Notamacropus eugenii: one gene and its partner. The protein of the gene in region 1 interacts with the protein of each later gene in a biochemical or structural test. Links are inferred from orthologs where the notes say so. Each region holds a gene or a part of one and is shown on either strand. Other genes may lie near its edges.

Region 1 (10,831 bases):
AACATAGTAATAGTCCATTACATTCATATACCACATCTTGTTCAGTCATTCTCCAGCTGATGGGTATCCCCTCAATTTCCAATTCTTTACTACCACAAAAAGAGCTGCTGTAAATATTTTTGTACATGTGGGTCCCCTTCCATATTTTATGGTCTCTTTGGGATACAGACTTAGGGGTGGTATTGCCAGATCAAAGGGTAAGCACAGTTCTATAGCTCTTTGGGCATTCACTTTATTTTTCTTGCTTTTTTTGCACCATCACTAATATGAAAAATATTTTGTATGACTTCATATGTGTAATGGGGATCATGTTTCTTGCCTTCTCTATGGGTGAGGGAGGGGTTGAGGGAAAGAATTTGAAGTAAAAATAAATATTTCAAATGAAATAAAGGCGTGCCACAGGACTTGAGAGAAAAGGATATTGAGAGCATTTTACAAGATACTATTGAGACTTTGGGATATGAGGTATTCACCAAGTGATATGAGGAAAGTGATCAAAACAGTCTTTTGAGTAAGTTACCTGAGGCTATGGACTCTTCTAAAATCCCTGGTAGCATAAGAGTTTCAGAAAGAACTTAGAGACTGATTACCAGGCTTTTCCCAGAAGATGACAGGATACTGAATGGGGTTAAGACTGTTAATCAATGAAGTATCTAGAGACATATTATTGGAACTAAACTTAAGTTGAAAGCTATCTGAAAAGTAGAAGCAGCTACAGATGCCAATAAGTGTCCATGCTCCACAATGCACAGAGTTGTACCACAGGGCAATCTTAGGAGTAGATATTGCCTTTTCTCAGGAAAAGGAACCATTTCTGAGTGACAAACTAGACTGAAGCAGTATAGCACTGGCAGGTTTATGAAGTGGAAAAAAAGAGGGTAATTGCTACTTAGGTTTTGGAATTGTAGAGGGTCTAAAGACTTCACAACATGAACTCACATTGCAAAGATGCGTGTGGAAACTAGAAAAGTAATGTAATAGTGATGACACCACAAGAAGCATATGTTGAGCCATTCAGTGAAAAGGAGAAAGAACCTTTAAGTTTGTAATTTGGGTGAAAAGTCAACCACAAAGAGAAATAAAAAAGTGTAATTAGACTATGGGCAAATGTCCAGGGTATTGTTTACTCCAAAGAGCTGAAGTGAAAGCAGTCAAAATGTGATCAGTTGCCAGACATAGTAAACCAATTTACAAATCATTTCCAAACTGCAGTGAATAATCTAACTTGGAAAAAACTCAGCTCCTCAGCATCTTCCTATGTGTGGACCCTAGAAACAGGGCAAGAAACCATCTCTAATCACCTAGACTCAAGGGTAAGTACTTACAGAAAACCTGCTGAGAAAAAGAATTGTAGACAGTGCTGTTACACTAGGAGAAAGCCAGGTGTGCAGGGACCTGAAGTCACAACTACCTAATGGAAAGACACCACCAACAGAGACCAAATGGAGGGGCAGAACTACATTCTGCTTAAATAATAACTAAGATGGATATAGGGGTTACGTGCAAACCTAATAGAAGAAAGCAGAGTTCATGTGTGAGAAGCTGAATTACTGAGAATATCAAGACATGGAGATGAAGCCAGCAATGGACACCAAGTTTGAACTCAACTCTAGTTACATATTGATTCCTTGACCTGGATTTATTGGAACCTGCTATAACTGCCCTGCCCCTGAAGTGACAGTAAAGACCGTAAATTTCCTGTATTGGACAGTGGATCTCAGGTGACTATTATGTACCAAGATTTCTAAGAGAGAAAAACTAAGTGAGAAAAACTTCTTTGCAGCCTTTGAAAGGATTAGGACTCTATGGAGTAAGTAACAAAGACTATTGATACTAAGGCTACATTAGAAGGAGACTAAAATTTGCTAAAGAAGTTATTGGTTTGACAGGAAGTAAATACTTTGGCTTTGGTATATCCACATCTAAGCATGTCCCTGTTATGTCAGTCTAGATTTGAACAAACTCCAACTTATTCAAGATCCTAGCAATATATATGTAGCAACAGCCATTCCAGCATAAGGCCAGTAGTCAAATGACCTGTCTGGTTCAGACCAAAATCAGTCATGCCCAATAGCCAAGCAATTTCCTGGTCCAACTCAGAAGCAGCCAGTCCTAGTGAGGAGGTAGTACAACACCTAAATGATCTGCTTTGACAGCCTAGCAAGTGAGGAGTTGGCATTGTAGAAGTTATCCATCACCAGCTCCACATCCCACAGAGAACTCCATGAGATAACTTCCCTCTGAAGAAAGAACATTGAGACCTTGCATTTCCAGAGTTGTGAGTTGTCTGGACACGTGATCCCTGCACATTATGGCTCACTGTAATTATACTTTAGGTTCATGCCCATGTATTCTGTACATTTTTGTTGTAAAGTGTGACTGGTTTGCAGGAATTTGCTTTTTAACCACTATTCTTGCTATACCATTTGAGTAAATATTAGAAAGTCAGAATCAGAGCCAGAAAGTCTATTGGTAGATTGTTAAAAGCACACCAGTAGAAGCTCATGTTAAGGAGATAAATTCTCCTAGTATACCAAAGGTAGTAGCAGTCTCCTTTCTGGGATGCAATGTGCCAGTGCCTGGGATGCTTAAGGGAGTGAGTTCAGATTGGACTGCTATAGCAGCTATAGCTGGAGCTTTAAGTGGTATGCATGCCTGGAAAAGGAGGCTTTCTAGCCAGACATAGATAAGGACATATGTTAAGGAAAAAAGGTGAGTTTAAAAAGAGTGTATCTGGAAGGATGAAGGACAGAGAATCTATCACAGAAAAAAAGAAATAAGAACAGGATTGAAGGCTTAGTTGAAATTAGGTAACATTAATTTAGACCCAGTTGGCACACAGGTGAGTTGCCCCAGCAGCATTCAGAAGCCTGGGAACCCAAGTGGAGAAGGCAGATTGGCAGTGGGGCAGCAGGGAGTGAGCAGTCCAGGGTTAAGGCCTGGCAAGACTTACATGGCAGTGGAACAAGAGAGCAAGTGAGTTCTGTGTGGAGGACAGTGTAGAGCTAACCTGTCCACTATAAGGTCTAAACCAGGGGTGGGGAACCAGGTGTGACCTTCAGGCCACATGAGGCCTCCAGGTCCTCAAGTGCAGCCCTTTGACTGAATCCAGACTTCACAGAACAAATTCCCTTAATAAAAGGATTTGTTCCGTAAAACTTGGACTCAGTCAAAAGGCCTTAGCCAAGGCCATAGAAGGACACATATGGCCTTAAGGTCCCAAGTTCCCCACCCCCTGGTCTAAACTGTGAAGGGAGAAAAGATTTAAAGGATGACCAACCCTATGGGCAGCTAAAGAGAATGAAGCTGCAGGTTATGAGAACTGAGGAAGCTGCTCAACTGGGATACTAGATGCTTAAAGTGAAATTAATGTTTATATATTTTAGTTCCTAAGAATGAGCGGTGAATAATAACCTCCTTGTGGGTATAATCCTGGTAGCATTATCTGTAGGTCAAAGAGCATGAATAATTTTAACATATATATATATTTTTTAATTTCATCAAATACTTCCCAATTACATGTAAAAACGTTTTTAATATTCATCTAAAAAAATTTTGAGTTCCAAATTCTCTCCCTTCCTTCCCTCTCTCTCCCCTTCGAAAGGGATTATACATGTGGAATCATGCAAAAAATATTCACATGGCATGAGAAATTTATTAACTTTTATGCATTTTAAATTATTTTCCACAATAGTTTAACCAATTCACAGCTTCACAAAGAATTAGCATGTCTTTCTCCCCACTGCCCTTCAATGAATTTTCTTCTCTTTGCTAATTTGATAGGTGTCAAAGAATACATCAGATTTATTTTAATCTGCATTTCTCTATTAGTACTTTTGAACAATTTTTCAGATGGTAGCTTGTATTTAATACTCTTTTGAAAACTATATCCTTGGACCACCTGTCCATTGGGAAATGGTTTTTATGATTGAGACATGGGGATGACCTTGAATTTCCTGAGACTGTCAGCAGAGCATAATCTCTGGCAGAATCTACCACTTTAGAAAGACTTAATATGGTCCTGGTGACAGATTGTATCTAATGTTTGAGGTTCAGCTTAACTGAGTTCAGAGGCCATCACCACTCATAAAAAAAGAGAAAAATATGAAATGCCTTCTTTAAAGCCTTTGAGGTCAACTTCTGCAGTGACAGTGTTGGAATGGCTAAGAATCATCGTTTTTGAACTTTTTTCAAACGTTGCTCAGTGTCTGCCAGGGTTTCAAGTGGTCCTTCTAGGGCTAAAATTTTTATCTTCAGACTTCTAATAGTGTTTTCTCTGCCACACCTTGAAACTCTGCATGATAAAACATGTTAGAGAAAAAAATAGTAAATTCCACCTCCCAGCACTGTTCCCTCAATCAGCGTGACAAGCAAAATGAACATTATTTCATTATTTTTTCATCTTGTTAGACATTTATTTAATTTGTCAAAGTTATAAAAATATTCTATCTTCCTTCTTTGGTAAGGGATGAACATACTATGATTTTAGCTGTACTTCATTCTTTAAAATGCCTATAAGAACACCTTAAAGAAGTAAAAGTGAACAAGCTAAAGAAAAAACAACAACTTGTAAATCTCCCAAGTAATAGGTTGACCAGAAGACAGCTTAAGATCAGGCATGGTTAAATTTCTTCAAACTTTTTTCACATAAACTCCAAGTAGAAAGGGATTTGAGAGGGGATATAATAGAACAGGTTTTATGTGGTAGAACCTGTTACTGAGCAAGAATTCCTGCTACAATACACCCAACAACTGGTCATCTAACTTGTTCTTTAAGACCTCCAATGAGGGCCAACTATCTCATTTACAGATGGCCTCCAAATTCTTAATAAAGTAGTAGACAAGGACCTTAAGAGAGAAAACAGTGGGTTTAAGAAGAGAATATCTGGAATAGCCATTAAGAGATGAGGACAAAGAATCAATCGTAGAAGAATAGAAAGTTAGACAATAATAAATAAAACAAAAAGATAACACCATTCCACTTTGGAATGGCACAAATTGTTAGGAAGTTTTTTCTTATGTCTAAATTTGTCCTGAATTTGCTTGGTCTATTTCATTCTCCAAATGGCAAAGTATGAAGTGTTCTGGTATAATAGAAACAGTGGAAAAAATTCCTAACAATTAGAGCTCAAAGCTTTTGGAAGTGGTAGGTTCCTAATCAATGCAGGTTTTAAAGTTTTTTGTCCTTAGTTTTTGAAGGGGACCAATGATAAGAGGGAGAGGTTGACTTGCCTAGTGAACTGGATTTAAGTGAGGCAGAGTTGCACAATGTCATCAGCCTCACTCTTCCAGAGTCATCAAGATTCAGTGACAAGACAAAAATCAATTGCCCAGGATACAATGGATGATCTTGGTGTCTTTGATGTCTGATCAAGCTAAAAGCACCCCACCGCTATCTCTGCAGTTATTGGAACAAATTGTTCTCATCTGCCCATTCTGACAGAAGTCTTCTCATGCTTGGGGTAGACATTCCAGTAATTCACTGACGTATTAGAGCCCTGCAGGTTATCCTCAAACTGGTTTAGCCCATCTGCTGAGATGGTTTTTAAGTAGAAGCTGCATGACCACTTATCAGGTATATTATAATAACAGCAGTAAGCATCAGAAGGCTTACATCCTAGCAAGGAGAGAAGGACAAAGGGAAGATGTGGCTCTAGCTTTTATCAGCTGTGTGACTTTGGGTAAGTCAGTTATCATCTCTTAGCCTTTTCCACTGTGCTTTGCTACCTTCTACACAAATACATATAATTTGGCATGCTAACTCTATATTCTACATAAGATCATTTTTTAGAGAGGCAGCATTATGTTAGAAGGGAGAAGGCTGGCCTTGAGGACCCAGAGACCTCTGTTCAAGTCATAGGATCATAGATTTAGGTTTCCAACACATACTCTGTGACCGAGTACAAATCCCTTAATTATTCAACTCTCTGTAACTGTCAAGTTACAGACAAGTTGCTGATCTCCGGTGATGAAAAGGGTTTCCACATTGGGAGTTCCTTAGGCAGAAGGAACCATAGTTTCTAGAGCAATAACAGATATAATAATATTAATATAAATTTTAAATTTTGGACAAATTGGCCTACTTGCTGTTTCTCATACACAGGATTCTATTGTCCATCTCTGAGACTTTGCCCAGGCTGTGCCCCATGCCTGAAATGCCCAGTTTCTTATTGAGCTTGCTGTGTGACCATGGGTAGGTCATAGGCAGGTCAATTCTTCCTGTAAGGTCTATTCCCTTCCTTACCTGTAAAATAAAAGGGTTGTATCAAACAGCCTCTGAGTTCACTTCTGAATCTATGATCCAGTGAACCTTATCTCTTGGAATCTCTGGTTCCTTTCAAGGCTCAACTCAGTTGCTCCCTCCCTGCCACGCTGCTTAGCTGTTAGTGTTCTCTCCCACATGCAACATGACTTCCTATTTATCAGTGAATACACTGTGTGCTGTTTATTTGTTTTGTCTTTGCATTCTGAGCACCTAAGTCAATGTCTTGAATATCGTGTAATATTTTATGAATATAATTGTTCTAAAGCTTTGCCATGGGATGGAATTAACTCTGGGTAACTAAAGGTTTAAAAAGTAGCTGTGGAGGCTCCATGGCTAGAGTGCTGGGTCTCAAGTCAGGGAGGTCTGAGTTCAGATGTGACCCTGGGAAAGTCGCTTAACCTCTGTTGACCTTAACCCACTAGAGAAGGTAATAACAAACTACTCCACTATCTCTGTCGAGAAAATCCTACGGCATATTATGGCCCATGGGGTCATGAACAGTTGGACACAACTCAACTGACCAAAAACAAGTGAAGACTATGCTGGTAGAATGCATGCTCAGTCAAGCCCTATCAAACTATAAAGGTTGCGACCCAGCAAAATTTTCTTGTCAGGAAGCTGCTGAGGTAAGTAGGTACTGAAAAGAGGCAGCTCAGTGGATACAGCATTGAGGCTGGAGTCAGGAAGACCTGAGTTCAGATGCTGCCTCAGACACAGCTAGTGACCCTGGGCAAGTCCTTTAACCTCTGTTTGCCTTAATCCATTGGAAAAGGAATGGCAAACCACTCCAGTATCTCTGCCAAGAAAACCCCAAGGATAGTGCTGGTGTGATATGGTTCATGGGGTCGTAAAAGGGCTAGATAAGGCTGAATGACTGAACAGTACTGCAAAGCTTATAATCGGAAAGCCGATCACCAGGATACCTGTCTATATGCATACATCATAACAACCAACATATATTTGTGTGCATATATATATATATATATAATATGCACATGCATTATAATTACACACGTGTACATATATGTACATATAAATATCTAACACAGTAACTCAAGAAAAGGGTATCTGATTTCTTTCTGTTGGTAGTACTTACATATACATTATTTGTGAATTGAGAATCTTTTAAGTATGAAATAATGTACAAAGTAGTACACATAGGCTCATAGATTCAGAGCTAAAAGGAACCTTACATGTTACCAAATACAACCCCCTTATTTTATAGATGAGGAAACTGAGACCCAGAAAGGTGAAGAGATCTGCCCAGTCACACAGCTATTAAGTATCTGAGCTTGGATTTTAAACTGGGCTTTCCTGACTCCAGCTCCAACATTCTATGCACTATGGAGGCTCAGAATGCTTTGTGACTAAAACGTAGAATTAGAAATTATTTAGCTATTCACTGTAGACTAAAAATGAAAATACCCCTTGACCTAGTTCAGATAGATCAAAGAAGTAATTATTAAGTGTCTGCTACATTCCAGGAACTGTGCTGAGTTGGAGATTAAAAAAAAAAGTAACCCTTACACACAAAAAGATGAAATTCTAAGTCAGTAGATAACAGGCACATATAGAAATATATACAGAATATATACAAACTGGACACAGGGTAGTTTGAGGAGAGAAGGCATTAGCAGTTGGAGGAAGGCTTCATGTAAAAGATGGTTGAGTAGAATATAAAAGAAAAACCAGAGATTCTAAGTTGCAGAGGCAGAGAGGGCACATTCCAGGAAGAGTGTAAAAGCATGGAGCCAGAAGAAAAAATAGGTAAGTATGGCTGGATAGCAGAATATGGGACAGAATAAGGTCCAAGACTCTAAGGATAAGAAGGTTGTGAAAATCCAGGTAAAGGAGTTCAGAGTCATTGAGGCTTATTGAGTTCTTGAGGGTGGCATGGTCAGACCCATAGCAAAATGGCTTTATTGGCTGCATGGAGACTTGAATCAGGGAGACCAACTAGGAAGCTATTGCAATAGTCCAGGTGAAGATTGCTTGAGTTAGGGTGGTGACAGTAAGTGTGGAGAGAATAGTAAATACAACAAAGTTGTTGTAGAACCAGAAATGGAAAGATTTGACAACTGACTGGATTGGTGAGAGTGAGGAATCTAGGATGACAAAGGAGTTGTGGATCTGCGTGAGGGTTTAGTTCTTCCTGCCTTGAAGCCCAATGCTCTGCCCCACTCAGCTGCCTCCAGAGGGTTGGGTTTTAGGGAAAAGATACTGGAGCTTATGTTCACTGAGTAAGGAAGGTCTTGGCCAGACTTCCAGTAGCGTTCTGATCAAGATCTCTTTTAAACCACTACTTGGGTCACCTTGGGCAAAATCAGTTCCTCATCTTTAGAAGGGGATTAAACTCTGTAGCCTCCAAGGCTTCCAGTTGTCATTCTATGTTCCTAGTTCCTTAACTTGGAGGTTCACTTACTTCGGTACTCCATGGGGTTACGTAGAGTCAGATGCAACTGACCAAGAAATGTGCTACCTGCTGGAGATAAAAAGAAAGGCAAAAGACAAAGACCTCACAACCTAATGGTGGGAGACCCTCTGCAAACAACTGTGTACAAACAAGATACATACAGAGGAAATTGGAAGTTATCTCAGGGGAAAGGTATTAGCTTTAAAGGGAACTAGGAAAGGTTTTATGCAGAAGACAGGATTATAAGTGAGACTTCAGGATTTGTGTATGTCAGAAGGCATGGAAAGAGGGCAAACTAGGAACTAGGAAAGAGGACAGACCTATCCTAGACTCACTTTGGAGCTTGGAAGAAAAGACTTAAGAACCTTGATGGCAGAGGCTGTTAGCCATTTCTGTGGGTCGCCTATGGACCCCTTCCCGGAACCAACGTTGTGCCTGCTATCACTCTCTCTCTATATACGTATATATATGTATGTATGTATGTATGTATGTATGTATGTATGTATGTGTGTGTGTGTGCGTATATATATATATACGCACACACACTCGTATGTATATGAATAGGCAGGCATACAAGTAGACATATAGATACATTGTATACACGTATCTGTATACACACACATTTAAACATCCGCACCTATGTACGTGTGCACTCTCCTGTATGCATCTTACTGGCACCCTGCTGTTTGCAGACTGGGAGACCCCTGAGGGCCGGCGCTGGGCTGAAAACCGGGGAAAACCCGTCTACACCGGGAGACCCCAGGCAAACCGCGGTGTATGAACCAGCTCGCTGCGTGCGTCCTTGGTTTTCGAAGACCTGGCACGACGTCGGAGAAACGAACTAGCTGTTCGAGGCTACAGGGGGCATTAAGGGGAAGGCTTCCAGCGGAAGGGGGGGTTGTGGCTGGGCTAGGAATGCGCCGCCCGTATTCCTAATGCCAACTTTCAGTTAGAGGTCGCCGAAAATCAGGATGCCATTTCTTTCCCCCATTCAAGTTCAAGGACCCCCTGGAATCTATTCCAGGTTAGTGATCCCTGCGTGAGGGGGAGGAGGGGATCGACTCCCTCCCGGTTCTAGGAGGGCCTCCCAGCGCGAACAGAGCCCGGGGCTGCCCAGGCCCCACGGCGCCGGCCTGGGGCTCTCGTTTCACCGGGGCCCCGTCTCTGCCCGACTCCAAGATGGCCGCGGGGCGCGGAGGGGCGCCGGGCGGCCTGAAGTGGGCCCCCTTTCCCAGCCGCCTCTGCAGCCGGCGGTGACGACGGCAAGCCAAAGGGCAACGGGCCGTGCGAGGGAGAGAAAAGGGGAGGAACCCGGAGACTCTATGGTCCGTCCCCGCCCCCCGCCCCCGGTCCCTGGCTGCCGCCGCTGCCCCGCCTCCTGCCTTTCCTCCGGGCTTCCCCCACGCTGTCCCCACCCCTCAGCTTTCCCAGGCCTGAGCCCCTGCGCCCAGCCAGGCCCGGGTGGCGCTCGCGTTGCCTGTCGGGATACTCCGCCCGCCCCGCCAGTCCTCCCAGATTGCGCCGCGGCCGTGATATCCGTGTTTCTCCCAAGATGGTGGCGCTGGGTTCGGGGTGACTATAGGAGACGACAGGGCCCCTTGCCCGCCCCGACCTCCCCTCTCCCCCGACACGCACTGCTCTCCTCTCCTCTCCACCCGCCCGTCCCCTCCGCCGCCGCCGCCTCTTCCGCTGCTGCCGCCTCCTCCACCTCCACCTCCCCCCGAGGCCGGCTCCGCCGTGCGCCCCGCGCCCCGGCCCAGAGCCCCCTCGGGTGGCGGCGGCGCTTCCTCCTGCTCCGGGCCCCGCGCGGAGCTGCCCGTCCGTCCGCTGCCCAGCACCGGCCGAGCGGGCCCCTGAGCCCCCCCGGGGTGGGGGGAGCGGCGGCGGCGGCTGCGGCCGGAGAAGAGCGAGGGGTCCCCGGCGGCCCTGCGGGCTCCTGTCCTTCCCCCGGGCCCCGGAGAAGGAAGCGCGGGTCCCGCATGAGCCCCGGCGGTGGCGGCAGCGAAGGGGCAAGAGGAGGCGGCGGCCGGAGGAGGCGGAGGAGGAGGAGCCGGGCGGCGGCGGCGCCTGCTGCTGCTACCACCATCACCACCACCACCACCGCCGCTGCTGCTGCTGCGAGGGCCGCGGCCCAGCCGGGGGCTCCACCACAG
Region 2 (10,104 bases), on another chromosome or scaffold:
GTTTCTTCATTCAGCTTTAACTCTAGCCGAGAACAGTACATACCAGAATCCTCAGCCTTCTCCACTTGGATACACTCACTTATCTGTATGTATTTGTGAGCCCAAAGCTATCCACATCCAGTGTGATCATATATATAATTGATGGTATATATACATCATGGTATATATACATGGTATACATATATATATAATAATAAAATATTATATGTGTATATATGTATATATTTTATATATAAACATATAAATATATTATATGGTCATCAGGACAATGGAAACCCAGCCTTCTTTAAGTCTGGGCTCATTTTGATGTTCTACTTAAGGTTGAGTCTTCACCAGCCTTACTTCTAGACCAACATATCTTTGCTTGCTTTGACATTTAAAATCTGATTATTCTTTATTTTATTTCTTGACTTTCAGACACTTCCAGCAACCACTGGAATTTTAACTCCTAGGTTAATAATCTGGGACTCTGACCCCTAGCCTGATTTTCCCAGTCCTGGATCTCTACCTGAGAAGCTCCCATCCCATTACCATCCACCTCTCAGCATAATAGTCAAACCCTTATGGAAGTGTAGGCATCACCTCCTTTGGTATGATAACTGATATTTTATTGACTCTATAGTAAACATGCCAGCCAACCAAAGAATATGCATGACTTCTTGGTACAATTTTCATTTCTTTATCAATCACTATATAACACACTCTTCCCCACTAAAGCATTTTTAACAGAGTCATTTCATTTTAGATGATAGAGGAGACATTTCATTACTGAAAATGCCTTCTCAGTCCAATCATTTTCTCATTTTTTTTTTTGGTTTGTTCTGAAATTTAACTGGCCCTAAGAAATTAATAACTTGTTTTCACATTGGAAGAATATTTGTGGTTTTCCAGATTTCCTTTCAATTTCTTCTGTGCAAAATATAACTTATTTATCCCTTCCCAATATAAAGGACTTGGTTTTTATAAGGCTATCTTGAGAAATATTTCCCAATTCGTTTATGTCAGGACCATAAGACCTTATGAAATGAGTTATGCAAGTCCTCTCTCTCTCTCTGCTACTCTTGCAGCAAGACTAATAGCCCTCCTTGTGGTCTGACAGCCACCTATATTCTCCTTTTGGCTTATGGGATCAGAATTCAACTTCAACCTTGCACACTGTCATGGTTGTAAGGTGGGGTTTGTCCTCTAGTTGCCAAAATGACTCCATCATGGCTGGGAAATCCATGCGTATACCCATCATATTTCTCTCATTCTTTTCACCCTTTATCATTATAATCAGGAAACTTCTTTCAAATCCTCTCCCCCAAAATCCACCCCTAGTCTCTCTGCTACCACAGAAATACCCATCATACCACAGCAACTTTCAATAGTGGATAAGCTTACTCCTTTCCATGTGCCATTGGATACTATTACTACCAGTACTACTAATTATCGTCATCATAATAATAGCATTTATATAATGCTTCAAGGTTTTCAAAGTACTTTATAGATATCTCATTTGATGATTATGTATTTAGATATTTAAAGATGAAAACGCTCGCGCTCGCTCTGTCTCTCTCTCTCTCAAAAGCACGAAGGAAGAAGAATGTATCTCTTCTCCAAAGTTCTTGGGTCAATAGCTCCCCTCATACAGGCACAGAGCATCCAGTCATTTTTCTTTCCACTGATGAATAGAGTCTTTACAAATGTTCCAGACTTGAGATTTAGTTTATATAAGTACACACATCTACAAATTATGTACATAATTATTCTGTTAATGTATGTACATATGAGCAAAATAAAATGTAAAATATCAAAATTTTAAAAGATAAAGAAGGCAATAAACATTTCAATTATTTTATTAAGGGCACAAAAAATGTTGTTATTGGGTGTAATATGACTGAATAAGTATCACTATTTTTGAAATAGTTCATGTTCTAGGAGACAGTCTATTTGTAAAGAATATTTTAATAATTACTAATTCAGTTGATTCACTTCTGTAGCAAGCAGGTGAATTTATTTCAGATACCTTTTATTGAAAAATGCCTGATAAAACAATCAAATAATAAGTAAGAATAGTTAGTGAACATAAAAGCTTTTCATCAAGGACCATATTTCTCTATATTTATACATTCACAGTACACATTGCAAAAGTGATGACAAAAAAGCAAATCGGCTTTGATCTCAACTCATCACAGAGTTTTTGATATAAATTCATCATTTTTTCTTTATATAGTTTTGCTTAAAGGAGGGTATCGTAGTTTAATTTCCTGTTCATGTTTGAGTATTTTAGACATATTTCTATGTGAATGTGAGAAATTACCCAAGGGTCAGTATGTCTGGACCCTTGAATGAAAGAAGGAGAATGATATATTAAAAAGGTGGAAAGGCAGGTGGGGATAAGTTGGAAGAAGGGCTTTGAATGCCAAACAGAGAGTGGTTTTTATTTGCTAGAGGTAATTAGGGTCCATTGAAGTTTATTGAATAAGGAAGCAGGAAAATCTCTTCAGTAGGTGAGGAGAGGAAGATAGTGGAGAGAACTGGAACAGAGACCAGCTGGGAAATCAGGTTGGTGGAATAAAGGGAGACAGTTTAGCTCAGCTGTAACGCACCATTAAATAACTCAATTACTTAAAAATTCACTGTCAAGACAAGGGAAAGGGGGGGAAAGTATTTATTAAGTGGCTATTATTATGTGCCAGGCACTGGGTTAAGCACTTTACAAATATTATCACATTTGATCTTCACAGTAATCTTGCAAGTTAGGTACTATAATCCCTGTTTTACAGCTGAGGAAACTGAGGCAGACAGGGATTAAGTGATTTGCCCAGATTCACGTAGTTAATAAGTATCAGAGGCAGGATTTGAACTCAAGACGTCCTGACTGAGCCCAGCACTTTATTCACTGTACCACCAGCTAGGTGGAGTCATGAAGACTTAAGTTAAAATCCTTCTTCAGACACTTACTAGCTATGTGAACCTGAGCAAGTCACTTAGCCTCTGTCTGCTTCAGTTTTCTCAACTGTAAAATGCGGATAATAACACTACCTACCTTGCAGCATTATTGAGAAGATGAAATGTTATATTAACTGTAAAAGTGCTTGGCACAGTTCCCAGCACATAGTAGGCCCTATATAAATGCTTATTCCCTAGTCCCTCTTTCTTTCCCCTATACCTAGAGGTGAAGTAAATACTATCCAGACCCCCTTATGCAAAATATGAGAAGGGTTTGGACTAGGATGGTAGTTATATGAGTGGAAAAGTGGGGACAGTAGCAAGAGATGCAGTAAGAGGTCCAGCTTGGGTCTTTGGTTGTCATGCAAGTTAAAGCTTCCTTACTATGGTGATCCTCTACCTCAATACCATGTTTCAACCAAAGATTTACACTGCTTCCTATTCCCCAGATGCACAATCCAGGAATCCTATCTTGGATGCCCCTTCTAGGCCCTCCCCCAATCTAGCCTCCATCCCCTTTTGCCCTTTAGTTTTCCTGCTCCATAGGTTTCCAAGAACATAATCGGGGTTCTCTGTCATCTCAAGGCTGGCAACACCATTTAATTGTTGCCCATAGCTCCCACCCTAAGGACCCCCAAGTACTGACTCTTTGTACATTAGAGATGGCTGAATGAAGCTGAAGAAAGCTTCCAAGGGGCCAACTACAGTCACAAAGAACATTCTATTTTCCCTTTCTTGATCTGAATTACTCCTTTTTAGAATGTGTCCACATTAGTTTAAATGGGCAGTTACATCTAACCCATATGCAATTCTTTTACTGATTTGGATTCTAAATTGTAAATAGCAAGGTAGATTTTTTTCCTGCTACAAAGATCAAAATGAAGAACAAAATATGAATTCCACCATCATGCAGTCAGCTAAAGAGGGGTCTCTTCCATTCTGAGGCTTTTTCAGTGACTGGCTTAAAATATTGATTCATAAAATGCAACATAACCATGAAGGATGTAATTGTGTTTGGGAACATCTTCCAAGAGTGCTGCAGTTGAAAAGCTAGCTTCCTCTCCTTTTTGTTCCCTTTTTATGGTATCACTTCCATAGCTTCAGTTCCTTTTGCATTTAACCAGCTTGGGGGGGATCAGGTTTTTAAATGGCAGTTTAATTAACATCCCCCCCAAATTGCAGGAGCTAATTAAAAACACTTTCTATAATAACCAATAGACAAGACCCTCCTTGAGGAAACCAAATGCACAACAGAGGGTTAAATGACTGAGCAAAGTGACAAATCAGCCTCACTCTGAGTGTGTGGCATTCATGGCTTCTATTTGAGATGGCATTTTTTTCATGGAACACTCCCAAGACAGGGCTCCATCAATCCAGCATCTGGCATAGTTATGCTTCATGCTGTGCTGGGCTCAGTCTCTTGTTTTCATTGATATGGCTTTGATTCACCAAGAGATTTTGCAAACAAAGTTTTGTGCTACATGCCATTTGATTTTTTTTGCAGCATAAGCATATGATAAATATTAAAGTGGGGAGGTGAGCAAAGAAATATTGCAGTGGTATCATTTTTAACCACAAAATGTTATTTTATCTCAAAGATCTATTGCATTGTTTAATAAGGAAGCTAAAAAAAACCCAGAGCCAGTCAGCTTTGGTGGGAAGAGAAATTGTTTAGTATTGTTTGTTCCAAGATGGACAGGTTTGGCAGTTACAGAAAAAGATTAAGGGAAAAGTAATTTCTGGTAGAAAGCAAGAAAAGTGTCTCTGGGAGAAGCACAAATTCTAGCCAAATGTAGACCTCCAGGGATAGAGGGAGAGGTTTTAAGGGTTCATTAAGGAAAAGAACAGACAACATGCAGAGGAGGATAATTCTGTATTCAGCTTGAAAAGGAAGCCATGGTCTGGATGATCACAGTCTGGTGTTGCAACCCAGTATAAGGAGGCCCCTGGGCAAAGTGCCAGGACCAGCTCTGCAAATTCAGAGCTGGAAGAGGCAATTCTGGGCACAGAATAGATTGGATACAACTCTAATGAAACTGGAGAGTCATGCATGAGAAATATGGGTACCGATAATCATTTTGTTTTATAGAAGCACTGATGGGAGAGATTACTTCCTGTTTTGACAGTCGGTGAGGGGAAAATAGTAATGAACTTCCTAATTCATTGTTATTGTCCTACTAAATGTATCATGTGTTAAAAACTGTCCTAGTCTTCATATAATACAAATAAAATGGAAATTAATGCTTGAAGCTAGCCCAGGATAAAAAGTCCAGAAATGAGAGGCAGAAGGAGCACCAAGGCTAGTACTTTTATTTGTATTCTAATGAGTACAAAACCATTTAGTTTTATTTTCTTAATCTAAAATGTAAGAATTCTTTAAGGACCAAGGTTTTTTTTTTCTTTACATCTGCAGGTTTTCAAATTACTGTATCTAATATTATTTATTTTAATAAAACAGCCATGTCGTCTTAGATGCCAATGAATGGGTGCTATTTTAACTTCTAATTAGTACCAGGTACCCACAAGCATCTAGCAGAGGTTCAGCAAATCTGCAGACTCCTGGGGGAAAGGGTCTAACCTTGAATATAGAAGATTTTAGTGAATGTTTGTTGCTTTAGAATGTAAATCCAGAAGGAGGGATCTGAGTCACTTCCTTGCTCTCAAGTCTTCTCATCCATCATCTTTTTCTGATTGATTTGTCTAAGGATAGATGATCTTTGTACATGCTGTCTTCCCCAACTAAAGGGTAATTCTTTGAGCACAAACTGTTTCTGTATTTCTTTTTGCTTGTTTTTATATTCCCATCATTTAGTATGATTCCTGAAACATAGTAGGGATTAATTTATATATAATTATAATATATATAATTATGTATTATATATAATATAATATATTAACATTAATAAATGTTGTTGACTAGTTTTTTAATAATCCTCTCTAACTTCATCTTTAATGGTTTCAAAATTTTGTTTCTACTAGTTAGTCATTTCAATCATGTCTGACTCTTTGTGACCCCATTTGGGGCTTTCTTTCTTGGCAAAGATACTGGAGTGGTTTGCCATTTCCTACTCCAACTCATTTTACAGATGAAGAAACTGAGGCATACAGGGCTAAGTGACTTGCTCAGCATCATGCAACTCATAAGTACCTGGGGCCAGATTTGAACTCAGGAAGATGAGTCTTCTTGACTCCAGGCCCAGCACTCTGTACGCTATGGTGCCACCTCTTCTGTTTTTATTAAATATCTCTAAACTGCACAAGGTGCAAATGGGATTCTGATTGAAGTAGTCAGTATTCCCTCAGCTATGAAATTATTTTATCCTTTACATTAACCCTCCTCACAGAGCTATCCACCATGGCTAAGAGCTATAAGTATTGAGAGCTATCATTATACATGTCATATGCAGACCAATGCAAGTATGTAAATATCAATATTACACACCATCAGAAGTTCTATCTCACATGAAGAATTCCTTCCCCAAGGGCAAACGAGAGAATAGAGTTGATCTTCTTGTAGCCTTTCATCCTAGCCTTTCATCTTTTAATATTCGATATTGCATCACCATGTTTATCCAGGGTCACTACCATAGCAGCCGGACATCCTTCTGTGGGTTTTCTAATTACAGTCACTGGTGGATTTGGTAGCTAATTTTCCTCTTTATGATAGAAGGTCTACAAAATCATTATTAACACCTAGAAGGAGATCCTAACTGGGAGCACTAGGAGGGTTGGGGGTGTGATGTAATGAGACAAGGCATGGGTGGAGTCAGTGTGCTTCTTTTAAAGCCTCTTGTCACAACTAAGTGTTTTTCTCCTGTACTACTTCTAGAGAGGTTACAGCTAATTTGACCCTCTTTTCTACTCCCGTATGCTGATTGGCACCAGTATATCTTCTGCATTTGAACTCAAACCTCACCTTCTGCAAGATCCAGCCAGCACCATGACTGATGAAGATCTGTCTGCCCTGGTAATAGATAATGGGTCGGGGATGTGCAAGGCAGGTTTTGGTGGTGATGATGCCCCACGGGCTGTGTTCCCATCTATTGTTGGACGACCTAAACACCAGGGTGTCATGGTAGGGATGGGCCAGAAGGACAGCTATGTTGGAGATGAGGCCCAGAGCAAGAGAGGCGTTCTCACTCTGAAGTATCCCATTGAGCATGGGGTGGTCACCAACTGGGATGACATGGAGAAGATCTGGCATCATACTTTCTATAATGAGCTGCGTGTGGCCCCTGACGAGCACCCCATCCTACTCACTGAGGCACCCCTCAATCCCAAGATCAACCGGGAGAAAATGACTCAGATCATGTTTGAGGCCTTCAACACACCCGCCATGTATGTGGCTATCCAGGCTGTGCTGTCCCTCTATGCTTCTGGACGGACAACGGGCATTGTCATGGACTCTGGAGATGGAGTCACTCACACTGTGCCCATTTATGAAGGGTATGCCCTGCCCCATGCCATCTTACGCCTGGATTTAGCAGGTCGGGAACTGACCAACTATCTCATGAAGATTCTCACTGAGCGTGGCTACAACTTCACCACTACAGCAGAGCGGGAAATAGTGCGTGATGTCAAGGAGAAATTGTGCTATGTAGCCTTGGATTTTGAGCAAGAGATGATCAGTGCTTCCACATCATCCTCCCTGGAACGGAGCTATGAACTCCCTGATGGGCAGGTAATCACCATTGGGAATGAACGGTTCCGGTGCCCTGAAGCCATTTTCCAGCCATCTTTTCTAGGCATTGAGTCCAGTGGGATCCATGAAACAACTTTCAATTCCATCATGAAATGTGATGTGGACATCCGCAAGGACCTCTATGCCAACACTGTGCTCTCTGGGGGCAGCACTATGTACCCTGGCATTGCCGATCGGATGCAGAAGGAAATCTTGGCCCTGGCACCTAGCACCATGAAAATCAAAGTCATTGCTCCTCCGGAGCGTAAGTACTCAGTCTGGATTGGTGGTTCCATTCTGGCCAGCCTATCTACCTTCCAACAGATGTGGATCAGCAAACAGGAATATGATGAGTCTGGTCCATCTATTGTCCACAGAAAATGCTTCTGAATAAGCTTATGGTTACTGGGCAGTGCTCCTTGTTTTCCTAACCCTCAGTGGGCTTAGAACTACCCCTTTTTGACATTGCTGAGGGTTGGGGAAAAGGAAGGAAAGCGACCACCATGGTGCTGATCATGCCCCACCTTTAATTCTTGATTTGAGGTAATTTATCCACTCTTCTAAAAATCCCAGCTTCTAATTCATGTCTTGTTCCTTGCTTTTTTGGGAAGGGGTGAGCAAATCCATAATTGACAGTGGCTATGCTATGGTGGGCATTGCAATACTGGCAGAGAGATTGGTGATGGAGCCTTCGAAAGAAGGCTCCTGATTATGAATTGAATTTCCTCCAATTGACCAGGGAAGAATCTTAACTACTGAACCAAACTTTCAGGGTGTCAGAAATTTAAACCTGTATGAAAAAAAATGAGTGCCTGGAGTCTAAATAACTCAAGAAATTAAAATCATTAAAATAATAAAATGTCATCTCCGTGGTTAGGACTGAACTGGAAGACGTGAAAACTCGTTCTTACTTTTTGTTTTCTTTTAAATATAAAACTATGGCCACCCATCTAACCTTTAGAACAATGTGCTTCCATAGACAAGGAAGGTTATATTGACCTCGTGCTTCCATGTTTCCAATCTTTGAATGAAGATATAAAGTCGAATTGGCTAAGAACAATTTTATATCAATACTGAGGAAATAAAACATTATATTGTACTATGTAGTGATTTATTTCGGCAGTCTACATTGCTAGTGTCTTTTTTTTTTTTTCTTAACTTCACCAGATTTCCCATTTTTATAGATTTGGAAGAGAACCAAAAGGTCCTCTGATCCAGAGGTTGACAAATTACGACTTGAGAGCCAACTCCATTCTGCAACTGGTTTTCGTAAGACTTGAGAGCTAAAAAATGATTTTGCATTTTTAATTTAAGTATTTCAATATTTAGCTACAAAGTATTTCTTTTGAAATAAAGTATTTAAAAACTAAATAAAATATTTAAAAACCATTCTTAGTTCATCAGCCATACAAAAACAAACTTCAGTTCCCATAGACTTCTGATCTAATCCAACCTCCTCATTTTATAAATGAGGAAACTAAGGTCCAGAGAGGTTAAATAATGTCCCCAAGGTCACAAAAGTAATAGTTATCTGAGATAGGATTCAAACCCTGGTCCTCTGATTCCAGAACTAATGCTTTTTCCACTATTTAATTATATTGTTTCAAGAGTTCTTTACATAAATGGCTCCCCTTAAAACAAGAAAAAGTGGGTGTAGATGCCTCTTTAGAGGGTCATAAACTGTGCTAGTTCTTTAGCATTTTAAAAAACCCTAAAAAGAATTTTCCTTCTCCAAGGAAGTGACAGCCATCTACAGAGAATGATTATAGGCATTTATTTAACTAGGGCTAGGACTGACCCTCACTTGAAAATCAGCTAATTTTTCATCTCTATATCATCTTTTTACAGGACATTTCCTCTTACATGGGTGTTTCAAGTGTTTACTTTGGGGATTTTATTATCTCATGGCTTGCTTACATATTAAGAAAATTGTAAAAAAAAAAATGTATGTTATCTAGTTAACTCTAGGATTCATAAGATTTAAAGCAGGAAAGGATGCAAGATCCTAATTTCATTAGCTTGAGAACTGGATTGAAATTTAGATATCATGTATACAAACTTCCTCTTTTAAATATAAGGGGATTTGGGCCCAGAAAAGTAAAGAAAGTCCAAACTCTCACAGGGAACAAGTAACAGAGCCAGGATTCACACTTTGTTCTCCTGACTAAAAACATTTAGTACTCTTTCTACTGCACCAAACTGCACCCAACCCTTGGACAGCATCTAGTCCCACTCCCTCATTTTATAGGTGAGGAGACCGAAACACAAAAAATGATTAAAATGGCCTAAGATCACATAGGCAATAACTAATCAAGCCAGGATTCAAACCAAGATCTTTTGTCTAAAGACTCAGGAATTTTTTTTTATTCCATAACACACTGGCAGATGTATTTAGTATTTTGAAGGGCCATTTTTATATCATGTTCTATAATGAAATTCATCTGTCATGTGAGGATTTTAATGAAGGAGAATATAGGTAGATGTCAATT

Evidence for each region. The genes of interacting proteins can lie anywhere in the genome.
Region 2: the proteins of UBE3A (region 1) and beta-actin-like protein 2 form a complex in vitro, tested with the Homo sapiens proteins (2 studies listed by BioGRID). The link is inferred for Notamacropus eugenii from reciprocal best matches to the Homo sapiens genes UBE3A and ACTBL2.

Annotation. Positions count from the first base shown.
Region 1 is NC_092876.1:404,782,449-404,793,279, forward strand, and holds the start of UBE3A (ubiquitin-protein ligase E3A), read left to right. Parts: upstream 1-5,579; 5' UTR 5,580-5,681; intron 5,682-9,683; exon of another isoform or gene 9,684-9,702; intron 9,703-10,706; exon of another isoform or gene 10,707-10,831. UniProt on the Homo sapiens protein: E3 ubiquitin-protein ligase which accepts ubiquitin from an E2 ubiquitin-conjugating enzyme in the form of a thioester and transfers it to its substrates.
Region 2 is NC_092875.1:404,643,998-404,654,101, forward strand, and holds beta-actin-like protein 2, read left to right. Parts: upstream 1-6,874; coding exon 6,875-8,005; downstream 8,006-10,104. UniProt on the Homo sapiens protein: Actins are highly conserved proteins that are involved in various types of cell motility and are ubiquitously expressed in all eukaryotic cells.